2 linked regions of the Saccharomyces cerevisiae S288C genome follow. The protein of the gene in region 1 interacts with the protein of each later gene in a biochemical or structural test. Each region holds a gene or a part of one and is shown on either strand. Other genes may lie near its edges.

Region 1 (9,952 bases):
TGGTAAAAGGAGATAATGCTGCGACAGAACTTTTCTTCTCTTCCAATTCTTTTATCTTCGCCAATAACGCCTTCTTTTTTCGTGCTTGTATTTCTAAAATTTCGGCCAGGTATTGTAAATATTCGACCGTTCTATCCAAAATGATACCCTTATTTGGTTTGATTTGTTTACCTAGGTCATCGTAATTCAATAAAGATGGTGGAACCAACTGGCCGAGTTCTTTTATCTTTTGCTTTATTAATTCTCTTCTTCTCCTTTCGACGGCATTATGAAACTCTCTTTTGCGCCTCAGTTTCTCATCAGAAGTTAACCCGCCTAAAATCTTTGGAACACTTCCAGGTCCTATATTTTCAGTCATATTGCTACTTATTGAAGTGTGTCTTGTTCTGGGTGTGTTTATGCTACCATGCCTAAAAGAAGATGAAAGGAAACTTCCTGCACGAAATGACGATGATGGTGATCTTACCTTTGGGGAATATGTGGAAGATACGGATGCTGGGCCCAAGCTTTGTGGATTATAAGAAAATGATGATGAATATGTGTTTGGTGTCATCATATCAGAATTGATGCTAGAAGATAAAGAGGAGCTCAAATCATCAGTTAAGTTATACATTGTGTCATCGGTGCCATGCTGAAATAAAAAGTCATGTGGTAACTCAGCTTTTAAGCCTTCTTGTTGCTGTAATGGAGTATTCATTGCTCTATCCACAGGTGAGTCGTAAGCCATAGAATAAGATGATCTCAAGGGACCCTGCCCTATGGAAGATATGGAATTTTGAGTGACAGGTCTACCGCCTTGGCTTGTTCTAAACATATCATCCAGGTAAGACGATTGCGATTCTGCTTCCTCATATATGGTCGAAGCTGTAGGAGTTTGTGAATTGGACCTCGCTTGACTGCCCATTAAGTTATTATTATCGTTAGAGTTGTGCGTATTGATGTATGAGAGTTTTTCATGCTGTTGGGCAGGAGTCTCACCACCTGGGTAGGCACTTCCGTGTATCTTGTAATCATCATTGTGGTGTGGAGTGGGTGTCACTAACGAAAAATCTAAAGTTTCCTGGAGGACTTTTGTCTGGTTCATTAATTCGTCCAGTAGACGTTGGTTCTCAGCCTCACTTTCGTTATTGTTCATCATTCTTCACTTATTTAAGAAGTAGGTTCGCCTGACAAAAAATAAGAGTATTCTATTAAAGGATACTTGTCAACTAAGTAATGTGAATGCAGTAATGTCGTTTTTGTTATCTTATATATGCTCACGTAAGACAGAAATTCGGATTGTGAAAAATTCCTTGATGATTCCGTGCAGCCTCTAGCCAAAATAGCAACTGCGAGTAAAAAATAATGTACTAACCTGCAGTAATATTGGAGATCCTACTGTCCGGACCGAGTAGTACAATTGTTAGTTTCTGTTGCTCATAAGAAGGCTTTTCTAATCACCATGGCTTTATTATTTCAAAAGTAACTTGCGAAGAGTCACATCCCGCGGAACGGCCCGCAATCGTGACCCGGCAAAAGGCGATTGTAATGAAGAGGGAGTATTGGTCAAGACTTGTACTATACTGAAATAGGAAGAAGATTGAATAAATTTGCATTCTAATTGCGTTCGGTAGTTTAGAGTAGGACTTAGATTACCTGTATTGTCTGCAGTTGCGTTTTTTTTTTTTGCTGGTAAAAAAAAAGAACAAGTGTGGAGAATATGAGCGAGGAACCACCTTCTGACCAGGTCAATAGTCTCCGTGACTCATTGAATCGATGGAATCAAACAAGACAGCAGAACTCGCAGGGTTTTAATGAATCTGCGAAGACATTGTTCTCAAGCTGGGCGGATTCTCTCAATACCAGGGCCCAGGATATATATCAGACGTTGCCTGTATCTAGACAGGACTTGGTGCAAGACCAGGAGCCGTCGTGGTTCCAATTGTCAAGAACGGAAAGAATGGTACTTTTTGTCTGTTTTCTTTTGGGTGCAACAGCCTGTTTCACTCTTTGTACTTTCCTTTTCCCCGTTCTAGCCGCTAAACCAAGAAAGTTTGGTTTACTATGGACAATGGGGTCCCTACTATTTGTTCTTGCGTTTGGGGTACTTATGGGACCACTCGCGTACTTAAAACATTTGACTGCAAGGGAAAGGCTGCCTTTTTCGATGTTCTTTTTCGCCACATGCTTCATGACGATTTATTTCGCAGCCTTTTCCAAGAACACGGTGCTGACTATTACATGTGCTCTTCTTGAATTAGTTGCCGTCATTTATTATGCTATTTCATATTTCCCATTCGGTGCAACAGGTTTGAGGATGTTAAGCTCTGCTGGTGTCAATTCGGCAAGAGGTGTTCTGCGCATCTGAATTATCATTCATAGTGCATATTGAATTGATTAGTTGAAGAAGAAAAATAATGTTTATGTTATAAGAAACAATAATAAAGAGATTTATAACCTAACCTAATTAAATAGCATGTAGTCAACAAAAAGGGAGTAAAACATGCAGTGGCTCTATATATATAATTATCGTAGAATAATTCAAAAAAAAATAAAAAACGAAAAAATTCATTCTTCATCACTCATCAAAGGCACTATTTCGTCATAACGCGGAGGCTCGTTACCATGAGAGAGTAGCGAATCTGCGGAGCTCGAACTTACTATTCCTTCTTGTTCTTCATCATCTTTTACATTCGCTAAAGTGTAACCCTTTTTGAAAAATTCGTTCTGTTTGTCCTTAGAGTTTTCAGTGGTAGCGTTTGGAATCCTCACAGTACCATTTGCTTGTGATAAGCCATTTGTTGGTGATGAATTGTGAGATCTATTGACGGGCGATGGAGTGCTCAATAATTTATCGAGATTATTGAATCTTGACCTGTCATTCACTGACGTTGCTCTTGCTCTAGCAACACCTTGGCCACTATTGCCCGAAACAAATGCGGAATTCGAAATACTGCCGTTCATGGCATTGGCATTTGAAATACTGTTCCGATTAACATTTGGCACACCGGCATCATCGCTGTATCCGGATGGCCCACTAACTGACGTAGTTCTTGATAAGTTCAATTGTTGAATAGATAGTAAATCAGGGTCATACGAGGCCATGATATTAGGTGATCCCATCGGTGAGACAATGGGAGAAGCTGGAACGGATATGGCTTCTTCAAAAGTTGGCGGAGGTGGACATGTGTTACCAAAAAAGTCGCTGTTCATACTTAGAGGAACCTGGTTGCCTTTGCCTTCCATTGTGGCCATATCATAAGTGGGTAACTCCATATTACCACTGTTGCACTGTTCAGACACCAGGAATATGGGCGTATCGATTAGAACCTCATAATGTCTTAATTTGGACGGACACTCAGGATCAGGTTTACTGATTCGTAGCATAATTTCCAGCTTATGTCTACAGTAAACATTACTGAAGTGTAAACTATCCAAGTACAAGCCTCTTTTCGGTGTGTTTAATCTGGTATGTGTTTTCACGGGCAAACCAGAATTGGATTTGATTATTGTTTGATGGAATTTTGGATCATAAACAGGTTTTTCATTTTCTTCATGACTTTTCGAGCCTTTATGACCGGATAAAAAGCCTATTACACTGGGACGACGGTGTGAGGGTCCATTGGCTACGGCATGTTCGGGATTGGGGATGCTCGTGTATGCATCGATACCATAAGGTGGTATTATCTTTGCGGTTCTTTTATCCAAATCTTCGTATTTGGGGAACTTCAATTTTGTTTCAATAATTATTGGTTCCGTTATACCGAGCCTTTCTTTCGGATTGCCTTTTGAATCGCTGTCGTCATCAAAAGGACTATAAGATAAGAGATTGTCATTGAATGAATTTTCAACAATTTCCTCCCTTAGAGCTCTCGTGCCCTTCTCCTTAGTTCTGATTTCAAATAATGATACACTTCTTTCCTTTCTTCTCTTGGAGGCGAAATCTAAATAATACGGATTATAAGGGTCTTTAGCAACGGGATCTGTTTGATCATACTCATATTCATAACCTTTACTAACAAATGTGACTCTTTCAGTAATACTGACATGAATACGTTTAACACAAACGTTTTTGCATATCGGTGCCAATTTTATCTTGATTGGGACTTCACTGTTTAGTGAAACGTATTTCTGAGCAAAGGAAATCTCGTATGACAAAGAATCTGTCCAAACCCTATTAATATAGATTGGTTTATTCGCAGTGGATACGGCAACGGGCGGTGGAGTTCTAATAACTTTTATTGGATACTCTGCGAAAATGTCCTCTTCTCCTGATTCTTCATTTTTCAGTTGATGTGAGCTCATGTGTAGATGATTTTTAACTTTACTAAACAAAGTGTTGCTTATCCTCCTATGGGCCTGAGCGGATTCTGTTTCGGTAAGTTTTAATGAAGATGTAGTGGAGCTTAGTGATGAAGAAGAGTCTGGCGACACAATAGGTTGCGGAGAGTTTGAATCTTGACGATAGAAACCCTTTCTATTGATTGCCTTTGTTGCAAGCCTTAGTCTGTAACTAACACGTGCAGAGGGTAAATAGATAGTCTCCGGAATATGATTAGAGAAAACCACTGGTACTAAGAATACATAGTCTCCAGGTTGGTAAAGATGAGTCTTATTTACGTCTATGGCGTTTAAAAGGCTGGCTTTTGTTTTAGTCTTGTCCAAATACAGTCTCTCCTCTGTAGGAATATTCTTGAACAACCTCATTTGACGATCGTTGGAGTTGTTTTCAATCATTTGATCATCTGGGGATATGCTTAATGGTACAAACAAATCGAAGTTTTCATCATTCAAATTCCATTTCATTGATGCAGCATTATAAAATTCTTCATTAAACGTCTTTGTAGGAGGAACACCTGTATTCCAAAACACTTTAACCCTTGAACATAATTCCAATTGCATGTCCGTAAATCGGGTTGGTTTTTTAACGGATACTATAACTGCTATGCTGTAAGAGACCATGGAACTGTCGATTTCAACAGACCTTGTATTAAGTTCCGAGCCGGAGCCTGGATGGTCTCCTGAATTATTTTCTCTCAGGAGTGTGTCTCTATTTTCATTTATGCTGCCACCACTTTCGGTAGCCGCTGCCGTTGTAGCGAGAGATGGAGTGTTACCTTCTTGCTGGTCTATACCATCCATAAAAAAATCCGCCTCAGCATCGTCCGTACCATCATTGAGTCCGTTTAGTCTGGACAGGTACTCATCGTCATTCGAGGATATCGTTGGTAAGAAAACGCTTTCACCGCTTGTAGAAATAGAAATCTTCAAGTACTCATTGGATAGAACGGTTTTTGGGCCCAGGAGACCTCTAGCGGTTAAATATTCTATGAGAAATTGCTCGTTAAACTTTTTCGAGTTTGCCAACCTTGTTAGAGAAGTTGATGATAAATCGCTTGACACTACAGCTGATGAGTTATGGTCATCATCAAAATCTAGTACTGTGCTATCCTCCTCAATCTGTGAATAGCGTCCCCCAGAGATTCTGGGCTCTTGGTCTACCGACAATCTTCCCGAAGTGCGACGGTTGGTGTCGGAAGTCGAGGATCTCGGAGTCGTAGTAGCACTATCGCTGATAGAGCCCTGTATGGCAGTGGTACTGTGTCGCCTTGCGTTTGGCGGCGGCTGTTTGTTCTGTTTTTTGCCAAGGAGTTGGGCGTCTGTATTGCTGCTTCTGATGTTGCCGTTATTATTGCCGCCTTTCGTTGTGTTGTTCAAGACGGCAGGTGAGTGAACATTAGCGCCACCAAGTAAAGATGATAGCGCGTGCCTAATGGTGGAGGATCTTCTTCGTTGTTGCATGGACCCTAATTTCTTGGTGGGAGAGGGTTGAAACGGCTGTCCTTTAGACTGGTTTAAATCTGTTTCTGATAAAGAGTGGGATGAATTTTTCGCCACCGGTCTTGATGTTATAAACGGCATGCCCAATAGGGGTAGGGAAAAATCTTGCTTGTTCTTCTCTATTTAAAAGAGTCACCTTTCCGATGGACCTTCAAAAATATAAACGTGGCTTATCTCAGAGCTAAGACAGACCTTCCGAGCAATAATAATGAGTCGTTCTATTTTTTTTTTCTCGTCCCTTTTTTTGTCCCCTCTTAACAAAATTAGAAATATAGGCGGGAAAGTGGAGAACCCTTGGAAGAGTCAGATCAGAGATTGGAAAAATTAAGACCAATGGATATCTACAGATCCTGTGAATCGAGTGTGAGTGATATACCGCAAGATCGGTAGAAAACTGTATATAAAGCAAAGAACTGATGTGGTGTAAACGATGTAGCGATGTAACAAGAGATACTCGGTAATGTAATCAAGATGCTCTTTTTTTTTTTTTGCGGCAATATGGTGTACGTAAAATTAAGGTTCCGTGGAGTCTGTGCTTGCGAAAATGATATTGACGCATGGACTGTCGAAATAATAAATTTACAATTAAACACTTGGTGATTTGAATGTAATTTGAACGTTTAAAAAATTCCAAGGGAATATTACTGTTTCGGGAATATAACGTTTGATATCGCTAGCGCACCCAGATGAGAAATCCGCATGGATGGGTTGTTAGTATTTCTATTGTGAAACCGCTTTGTTCTGGAGGGCGAGAAAAAGTTACGGTCACTCTATCTTTTTTATAATTTGGTCTAACAAACTTGATATCAGAACCACGTAGAAGAAAAAGAGACTAATAGTAAAAATATCAAGAAAGTTGACCAATTTTTGTTATATATGTCCGTAAAAGTTATGACTTGGCACTGGTCTTGGTTTACTCATCAATCAGCTAGGATCAGCGCTGAGTGACTGCTTGCGGCTGGGCGGCTAAGAAATGGGAATATGTACAGTACAAATTCCGAACTTTGCGAGCCTGCCTCGATGGTTTTTTAAGGTGTTCTTTTCTTGCATACCAAAGCGTACACTTGATGCGCCGCTTGACGTTATCTTGTTCTGGATGAGGCCTTATTTTTGGTCTTCATTGTTAAAACACCCTATTGTCATTTAGCAGCCGATGCGATGAACGAAACTGCGAGGTAAAAGCGCTCAAATCAAAAGTGTAGTATGAATGATATATAAACAACTTCAATAAAGTCACGCGTAGTTAAAATATTGTTAGGGTAATATCCTGTGTCCTTCGAATATCTGTTGGAATAAGAAGCAACATCATCTACTGACTAGTATTCGTGATACTAGTATTCAATCACGTAAGGTGGAAGAGAATGACATGAAGATTGAGAAACAGTGATCAAACTCAATAAAGAGCTGAATACAAGCACATATAATTGTTGGAATAAAAATCAACTATCATCTACTAACTAGTATTTACGTTACTAGTATATTATCATATACGGTGTTAGAAGATGACACAAATGATGAGAAATAGTCATCTAAATTAGTGGAAGCTGAAACGCAAGGATTGATAATGTAATAGGATCAATGAATATTAACATATAAAATGATGATAATAATATTTATAGAATTGTGTAGAATTGCAGATTCCCTTTCATGGATTCCTAAATCCTTGAGGAGAACTTCTAGTATATCTACATACCTAATATTATAGCCTTAATCACAATGGAATCCCAACAATTACATCAAAATCCACATTCTCTACATGGTAGCGCCTATGCTTCGGTTACTTCTAAGGAAGTCTCATCAAATCAAGATCCGTTAGCCGTTTCAGCTTCCAATTTACCGGAATTTGATAGAGATTCCACTAAGGTTAATTCTCAACAAGAGACAACACCTGGGACATCAGCTGTTCCAGAGAACCATCATCATGTCTCTCCTCAACCTGCTTCAGTACCACCTCCACAGAATGGACAGTACCAACAGCACGGCATGATGACTCCAAACAAAGCTATGGCTTCTAACTGGGCACATTACCAACAACCATCTATGATGACGTGTTCACATTATCAAACGTCACCTGCGTATTATCAACCGGACCCACACTATCCGCTGCCACAGTATATCCCACCGCTGAGTACTTCCTCACCTGATCCAATCGATTCACAGGATCAACACTCTGAAGTACCTCAAGCTAAGACAAAGGTGAGAAATAATGTCTTACCACCACACACTTTAACATCAGAAGAAAACTTTTATACATGGGTTAAATTTTACATCAGATTTTTGAAGAACTCTAATCTCGGTGACATCATTCCAAATGATCAGGGTGAAATCAAAAGACAAATGACTTATGAAGAACATGCGTATATATACAATACCTTCCAAGCATTTGCCCCATTTCATTTATTGCCAACATGGGTAAAACAAATTTTAGAAATTAATTATGCTGACATCCTTACAGTCCTTTGTAAAAGTGTGTCCAAAATGCAAACTAACAATCAAGAATTAAAGGATTGGATAGCTCTTGCCAACCTTGAGTACGACGGAAGTACATCTGCTGATACATTTGAAATTACGGTCAGCACGATCATTCAAAGGCTAAAAGAAAACAATATCAATGTTAGCGACAGATTGGCCTGTCAACTAATACTTAAAGGTCTATCCGGTGACTTCAAATACCTACGTAATCAATATCGTACCAAAACGAACATGAAACTTTCCCAATTATTCGCTGAAATTCAATTAATATATGACGAAAATAAAATCATGAATCTAAATAAACCGTCCCAATACAAACAACACAGCGAATACAAAAATGTTTCTCGCACATCTCCAAACACGACTAACACAAAGGTTACAACTCGTAATTATCATAGAACAAATAGTTCAAAACCAAGAGCAGCAAAAGCTCACAATATTGCTACATCTAGTAAATTCTCAAGGGTGAACAATGATCACATTAATGAATCAACCGTTTCATCACAATACTTAAGCGATGACAACGAACTTAGTCTTAGGCCAGCAACAGAAAGAATCTAAGCCAACACACACAATAGACTCGAATGACGAACTACCTGATCACCTTCTTATTGATTCAGGAGCTTCGCAAACGCTTGTCAGATCAGCCCATTATTTACACCATGCAACACCCAATTCTGAAATAAACATAGTCGATGCTCAAAAACAAGACATTCCTATAAATGCCATTGGTAATCTTCACTTCAACTTTCAGAACGGCACCAAAACATCAATAAAAGCACTGCACACACCAAACATAGCCTATGATCTATTAAGTTTGAGTGAGCTGGCTAATCAAAATATTACTGCCTGCTTTACCAGAAACACTTTAGAAAGATCGGATGGTACAGTACTAGCTCCCATAGTCAAACATGGAGACTTTTACTGGTTATCTAAAAAATACCTAATTCCTTCGCACATTTCAAAGCTAACAATAAACAACGTCAACAAAAGCAAAAGCGTAAATAAATATCCATATCCGTTAATACATCGAATGCTTGGACATGCTAACTTCCGAAGTATTCAGAAGTCTCTTAAGAAGAATGCAGTTACATATTTGAAAGAATCGGATATTGAATGGTCTAACGCTAGCACATATCAATGTCCTGACTGTCTAATCGGCAAAAGCACGAAACATAGGCATGTCAAAGGATCACGACTAAAGTACCAAGAATCATATGAGCCTTTTCAGTACTTGCATACCGATATATTTGGTCCTGTACATCACTTACCGAAAAGTGCACCTTCTTACTTTATATCGTTTACAGATGAGAAAACCAGATTCCAATGGGTCTACCCATTACACGACCGTCGTGAAGAATCTATACTCAATGTTTTTACATCGATATTAGCATTTATTAAGAACCAATTCAATGCTCGCGTTCTAGTTATCCAGATGGATCGTGGCTCCGAGTACACTAACAAAACTCTTCATAAGTTCTTTACGAACAGAGGTATTACTGCATGCTATACAACCACGGCAGATTCTAGAGCACACGGTGTCGCTGAACGATTAAATCGTACTTTATTAAACGATTGTCGCACACTGCTTCATTGCAGTGGTCTACCAAATCATCTATGGTTCTCAGCAGTCGAATTTTCTACTATAATCAGAAATTCA
Region 2 (7,547 bases), on another chromosome or scaffold:
AGCACAAGTACGAGCGGCAATGGTATGAGAACGAAGAATAAAATTATCATCAAAAAGTTCAAGTATCTCAGAATCCTTCGTACATTATCGATGGACAATCTTGCCATGCAAGAAGAAATTAGCGTGGGTAATACTTGGCGTGACAAGTTGCAATACGAAACGTCCATCCCGAGTAGGGCTGTTCCTATTGGTAGCACAACCCCCGTGAAGATTAAGATTTTCCCCTTCGAAAAGAACATTCGTTTGGATAGGATAGAAATGGCGCTAATCCAATATTACGCAATGAAGGACAGCAGCGCACAAATTTATGATGATGAAATAGCCGTCATGAAAATTACTCATCTAGCGGACTTCGGCCCGCTGACGGACAAACTTGACGTCGATTGTCCCTTTACAATTCCAGATAACCTCAAACAAATAACTCAAGACTGCTGTCTGCAAGACAACCTAATCCGTGTCATGCACAAATTGCAGGTACGTATTCTTTTACAACGTCAAGTGGATGGCGAATACAAGAACCTGGAGATCAAGGCGCAATTACCTATGTTATTATTTATTTCGCCGCATCTGCCTATGAAAGGCCGTCTAGTGTTGTTTGATAAACACGATGGCAAGATCCACTTCCGCCCTGGCGAATTAGTACCCCTTTTTTTAACCACTTACCCCGCGCAGGGTCTGACTCCAGGCGTTGAACTGAACTCCACTACAACGGCGCACCTCGCGCTGCCACAACCGCCACCGAATTATCACGAGAGCACCAACGATCATCTCATGCCGGCGCTACAGCCGCTCGGCGCCGATTCGGTGGTACTGACAGTGCCGTCATACGAGCAGGCGCAGGCGCAGGCATCGGCATCGTCTTACGTGACAGGGTCCGTACCCGCTTACTGCGACGATGACTGATCCCCGCTCTCGGCGCCCCGAGTCGGCTACCCCGCGTTGGCAATCCCCTCCGATCGTCCGCGGCAAAATGGTCGTCAATCGGACAAAGGGGGATGATGGGATCTGGTAATAGAAGAAAATATGGACTAAAGGTAGCCGCTAAAGCGATCCAGGCATGTGTTGCCAATGATGTAAGTCAAGCGAAGGAAATGGTTCAGTAATATGATAGACAGACTGCACTTCAAGGGTGCGCCCCCTCCCCCGCGCATATGCTTACAACGCAAAATAATTGACGTTTAATGTGGATACTTATCGTAATCGCTGCATTATAGATTTCGAGTCATGTTCACTTAACCCCACATATTTATATAGAACGCATCTTCAAAGTACTTATAAAGTTTAGTTTTACATTTTTCTGCTTTCTATTTCTTCTTTTTCGGTTCTTCTTCATGCCAGTTGGCATGGCTTAAGAGCTTTACTTGTCGCTTTTATTTAAAACCTTCTCTCGGGAGAAGACAATTGTTGATATACAGTAATTGTATTTGCATTATCACTGCTATGGCTGCGGGTCAAAAAAAATATATATGTTCCTTTTGTTTGAAGCCTTTCTCGAGATCCGAGCACAAGATAAGGCATGAAAGGTCTCATGCGGGCGTGAAGCCTTTCCAGTGCCAAGTCTGTAAACACTCTTTTGTTAGACGCGATCTCTTACAGCGACACATCAGGACTGTCCACAGAACCTTCCTCTTATCCAGTTACGCGTCAATGACAGGCGATAAGGCTGATATCCCTGTATCACTTGGCGTTGGTGACGTTGATTCGACTTCACCCAGAGATATCAAAATGGAAACACTCGTTAATTCGATGATTAAGGTCAACAGCGGCCTTATCAATATTCACTATCATAGTAGTAATGTTGAAAAAATGGATAAGCAGCAACGTTGTGTGATTGGGAAGGAGTCCTCTAGTTTAAAGAAAGGGAAAAGCCGCTTTAAGCAGGTTAAAAGCCGGTTGGAGTCCTCCATCAGTGTAAAAATTTTGCAAGAATATTCATTAGATTTTATTAGCTCAAGAGATATTCTAACTTTCTTCAGAATGGGTGTAAGCCACTTGGTAGAAAATAAGATCTTCCAAAATTTCTTTCCAGACCTGTTCTCATCACTACAAAATGACGAGCTGGTGGAAAGTTTTTGGATTAACAAGCCTTTTGGTCTCATAATAGCTTGTCTGGGTATGTCCATTTCGTTAAATCAAGATTCTCAAAAACTATGGTTTATCTGTTGTACGAATTTGTATGCTAGCTCATCTAAACATGACAATGACTTTGACACTGAGGACATTTTGTCACAGACAGAGCAACATGATGTTTTTGCCTTGATTCTATTTTATTCTCTTCTAGTAATGTTGGAGAATAACATTCCTGTTTCTAATTCCATTAAAAAGTTCGATGTGTTTTCAATGCTTCAAGATATTCTGAAGCCATTCACCGTGGCATCCTCCAGTTACCATTATTTGAATAGTAAGGAAAATGCATGGTTCATATTCGATCTATGGGTCAATATCTTGCGCGATTCAAACAACTTCAACAACGATTCTTTACTAATATTTGGTTGGTTCGTCAATCAAGAGTTTATTTCGTCTAATCCACTTAAGGACTTCATATACAAGGGACCGTCAATGTCCACTACTGACTTAACTTTAAAGCATATCAATATTTTGGCAGATTCCGCGTACGTGTATTTTATAATAAAGAAGACTTATCCGCAAGAGCTGCCATCTGATTTTAGAGTGCATGATTTGCTGGTTTACTTGAATGAATGTTTCGTAATGCAGCAGCCGATCAAACCTGAAACTAGTGCAAACCCCTCTTTATTTGCGAACGTTATGAACGCCAGGATTACGGACTGCAAATCGAAAAGTAACTGGTTATTGTGGGAAACGATTTGGTTCGAATTCATCAACAACTTGACTTTGAGAAATGGGACCACAAGGAACATATGGTTCATTGATAACTTTCCACAGGTATCGACCTCGTGCTTACTTCATCATTCTTCCTCATTTGTTGATGAAACCTTGATCACCACGAACTTATCAATCATATCAATGCTTCTTAATTTGAAGTCTTTCACGCTGGCATCTTTAAACCCAAGGAATATTCAGTTAATTACCGACATTGTCAGCTTCCAACTAAAATTGTTTTCATCGGAGTTAATTGCAAGCTCGGATGTTTCACCATCACAAGTATCTCAATTACTAGTAAACCCCAATGTTCACCTAATGTTATATTTCTGGTTCGATACCATTTATGTACAACGTCAGAGCTACCTTTCATCAACAGAGAAAGAGGAATTTGAGAAGGTTGAAGTGTTTGTGAATGACTACATTATAACACACCAAAAGAACTTGGTGACAGACTTACACTCCATTTTGTTCGATTTTTGGTCAGATTCCTTCATTGCTTACCATATACTACTGCATGCTATTGTATCTTCATTAAGAGATAATATTCTTTACCCATACTTAATCTACTCCCCTCACCTGAATGACCAGACGAAAGCATTGTTGACTGATATCTCTAATTGGTCTTGTTTTGCTCTTCAACAGCCGTTTCGCAAGACTTCAAGAGGTTCTTTATCTGGTGCTTCTGATATGAAATCGTTTTCAGTAGCATCATGTTTGCCACTCTCTCCTAATTTCCTAAAGAGAGATTCAAACTGTAATAAGATTCTCCTGCCCCCATTAGATATAAAAGCCATTGAACCTATCTCAACGAGTAATTACACCTACGTGAACTCGGCCCCTAAGCAACAAGAGAAGGAACAACCATTGTTAAGGGCAACAGGAAACAATATCAATTTAGTCCAAACAATAGTGGTCCCACCCCAGGTAAACATGGAATCACAAGAATTCTCAGCTTCTTCAACTGACAATAAACAAAGTAAAAACATTGAAATTTTTAGCCAAATAAAATAATGGCCAAAGAAATGTTGTTAACAACACTAATAACATTAAAGTTTAATACAACCACAAACGATATACATAAATCTACATAATAATTTTAATACTTCCCACAAGTTTGCCTAAAAGTAAATACCATTTTTTGTGTGCTTATTCCGCTGCGATGGTTACTACTACATGTAAGAGGTGCTCAGTAAAAGGAAGTACAAAACGTCTTTCGCGTTTACCTGTGCTCCATGCGCCTTAATCAATACTCTCAAGGCCTTCTTAACCTTGGCGTTTTCTTAAGTGTTCTGTTCACATTCGATAACAAAATTTAGAATGTCTTTTCACCCCTCTTTTTTCTGGTAATGGTTCGAATGTATGCGGTACCTTTTTTTAACAATAGTCTTCAGGGCACCCTTAAAAATGCTTCGATGAACCATTACAGAAAAAGAAAGTAGGGAAAAATGATGTAATTGTATATGTTGTTTAGTTTAATATTTGATAAAAACATATAAAAAGGGCAATCATGATGGCCATCGACGAGTTATCTTTATCCTTTCGTATTGTGTTATGAGACTTTTCATTTAAAATATACTGTAGGTATGACATCACTGAATATCATGGGAAGAAAGTTTATTCTAGAAAGGGCCAAAAGAAATGACAACATTGAAGAAATATATACTTCGGCCTATGTCTCTCTACCCTCCTCAACTGATACACGTTTGCCTCACTTCAAAGCAAAAGAAGAGGACTGTGATGTTTACGAGGAAGGGACCAATTTAGTGGGTAAGAATGCTAAATATACCTACAGATCCCTTGGTAGACATTTAGATTTTTTGAGGCCAGGATTGAGATTTGGCGGTTCGCAATCGTCAAAGTACACGTATTATACGGTGGAAGTGAAGATTGATACCGTAAACTTGCCACTTTACAAGGATTCGCGTTCTTTGGACCCGCATGTCACAGGTACTTTCACTATTAAAAATTTAACACCAGTCCTAGATAAAGTTGTTACCCTTTTTGAAGGGTATGTCATCAATTATAACCAATTCCCGTTATGTTCACTGCATTGGCCCGCTGAGGAGACGCTCGACCCTTATATGGCTCAGAGAGAAAGTGATTGCTCTCATTGGAAGAGGTTTGGTCATTTTGGTTCTGATAACTGGTCGTTAACGGAAAGAAATTTTGGTCAGTATAATCATGAAAGTGCAGAATTTATGAATCAACGATATATTTATCTTAAATGGAAGGAAAGGTTCCTACTTGATGATGAGGAACAAGAAAATCTGATGTTGGACGATAATCATCATCTGGAAGGCGCGTCATTTGAGGGATTTTACTATGTGTGTTTAGACCAGCTAACAGGTTCAGTGGAAGGCTACTACTATCATCCCGCTTGTGAATTGTTTCAAAAACTCGAACTCGTTCCAACCAACTGCGACGCATTGAACACCTACTCAAGTGGATTTGAAATTGCCTAAAGACCCTTATAGAATTACCAATGTATGTTTGTTTACTCGTCAACCATGTCTCTTTTAAAAGCACATTGTTCTTGATATTACATCAATAAGTAAACTAGTAACCCTTTACATATATCCACGTCATGTATGCCCTTTTTGTAGTTCGAAATAAAAACATTTCTATCATTAGTGCCGGTTAATAATTAGTTGGCGATATCCTTGCAATAAAATAAAAATACTTGAATTGATGATTCGTTTACAGAGGCTCAAGAACACTCAGGAAAACATTATTGCTTTAAATTGACATAGTGTTCTTATGGTAGAAGCTTTCTTAATCACCAGCAAAAAATATTTGGTAAGTAAAACGTTAGCGAGGATATGCTGCAACCATCATTGCTGAACAAGTTATTGGCAACCTACTTATGCGGAGGACTAATGATTACTCAACGTTCTTCTTGAGACGAATGATTACAACCTTACAACCAAGATATAAAAACTTTAGTTTAAGCCCAACTTTATTACAATATCCTTAGACGGCAGCTGGCTCGTGGGATTTTTTCAAGTGTTAGTCCGGTTCTGCAACTACTGCTGAATTCGGCTGCATTGAAAAGCTCAAATTAAAATCATCGTCAATTATTCTCATTACTTCAATCTTTGCTAGTACGCCTTTCACATGGCCTGTCGATCCTATGCTCCTACAACTAAAATGTCCTTTACTAACATGATTGCCTCCATTGCTACAATTGCGTCAGCTAAGATACTGCCGTAGTCTACTAGAAAATCATCATTAGTTCACCCGAAATGGCTCTGAGATTATGAATCACTTTAGGATGATTTACACAGAAAGCGCCGTACCGCCTCCGAGACTCTTTCACCCAACTGTGAAAGGAAAAAAAAATGTGTGAAATGAAAAAAAAAGTCGAAATATGAGATGCAAGGCTAAGTTTGATGATAGCCATTCCCAAAAATCTGCATGACTCTTACGGCTATAACATAACTATATATAAAGGCTCTACACCCACGAGCAATCGCCTTTTCATTTGTTTCAATTTTCAAAAAAGGACCGACACAAATCAATAGATAATGACAATTTCGAATAAATCGTGGAGGAGCTACTTCCCACATTTGAGAAAACTACCCGAAGATGATCAGTACTTATACTCAGACGATACTAACTCCAGTATCATAGCTGAAGAGGAGCTACATCATAGCGTAGATAAGTCCTCGAAGACAGACGTTACGGCAGAAACTACAGCTGTAGAACCTCATCCTCACAATTTAAGGCATGACTTGCCATATGAAGTGAGAGATGAAGCTGGGCGTAAATGGTGGAAATATTTTGATGAATTCGAGTATCGTGTTAATAAGGAATACAAGAAATCACGTAAGTGGTACGAGTTTTTGTATCCTAATCATACTACTCAAACCAAGGCTGAAAGACGGCTTCTTTACAAGCTAGACATTATTATTGCTTTATACTTTTTTATGTTATGTTGGTCCAAGTCAGTGGATTTGAATAACTACACTAACGCATATGTTTCCAATATGAAGGAAGATTTAAACATGAAAGGTAATGATTACGTTTACACTTCTACTATTGCTAATGTTGGTGCCATTGTCTTCCAATTACCATTTATGTATTTGTTACCAAGATTTCCCTCTCATATTATTTTGCCTGTAATGGACTTGGGCTGGACTTGGTTCACATTTGCATGTTATAGGGCAAACTCACTAGCCGAACTAAGGGCTTACAGATTTATTTTAAGTGCCTTTGGCGCTGCTTACTACCCAGTGTCCCAATATATACTAGGTTGTTGGTATGCCCCAGATGAAATTAATTCAAGAGTCTGTTTATTCTTTTGTGGGCAACAATTGGGTTCCGTGACTTCAGGACTTCTGCAAAGTCGCATATTCAAAAGTTTGAACGGCGTCCATGGTCTAGCAGGCTGGAGATGGATGTTTCTGATCGATGCCATTGCAATTTCTCTTCCCACGGCTATTATTGGTTTTTTTGTTATTCCCGGTGTACCATCTAAGTGTTACTCTTTATTTCTGACTGACGAAGAAATACGAATTGCAAGGGCCAGAAATAAGAGGAACCAAATCAAAGATGGTGTTGATAAAAGTAAGCTAGCCCCATTATGGAGCAGAAAACTTTGGAAGAAAGTATTTTGTACTCCAGCATTCTGGGTACTTGTTGTTTTTGATACATGTTCGTGGAATAACATGACTGCGTATAGTGGTTCATATACTTTGTGGTTA

The links.
Region 2: of the proteins of ECM21 (region 1) and GID10, one has a biochemical effect on the other in vitro, tested with the Saccharomyces cerevisiae proteins (one study listed by BioGRID).

What each region holds. Positions count from the first base shown.
Region 1 is NC_001134.8:22,399-32,350, forward strand, and holds ECM21 (Ecm21p), read right to left. Parts: upstream 5,902-9,952; coding exon 2,548-5,901; downstream 1-2,547. Other genes in the region: RTG3 (Rtg3p), read right to left, coding at 1-1,138; SFT2 (Sft2p), read left to right, coding at 1,700-2,347; YBL100W-C (uncharacterized protein), read left to right, coding at 6,029-6,148; YBL100W-A (gag protein), read left to right, coding at 7,537-8,853. UniProt on the Saccharomyces cerevisiae protein: May be involved in cell wall organization and biogenesis.
Region 2 is NC_001139.9:618,680-626,226, reverse strand, and holds GID10 (Gid10p), read left to right. Parts: upstream 1-4,427; coding exon 4,428-5,306; downstream 5,307-7,547. Other genes in the region: ART5 (Art5p), read left to right, coding at 1-903; YGR067C (uncharacterized protein), read left to right, coding at 1,441-3,855; VHT1 (Vht1p), read left to right, coding at 6,369-7,547. UniProt on the Saccharomyces cerevisiae protein: Substrate-recognition component of the GID E3 ligase complex recruiting N termini and catalyzing ubiquitination of proteins targeted for degradation.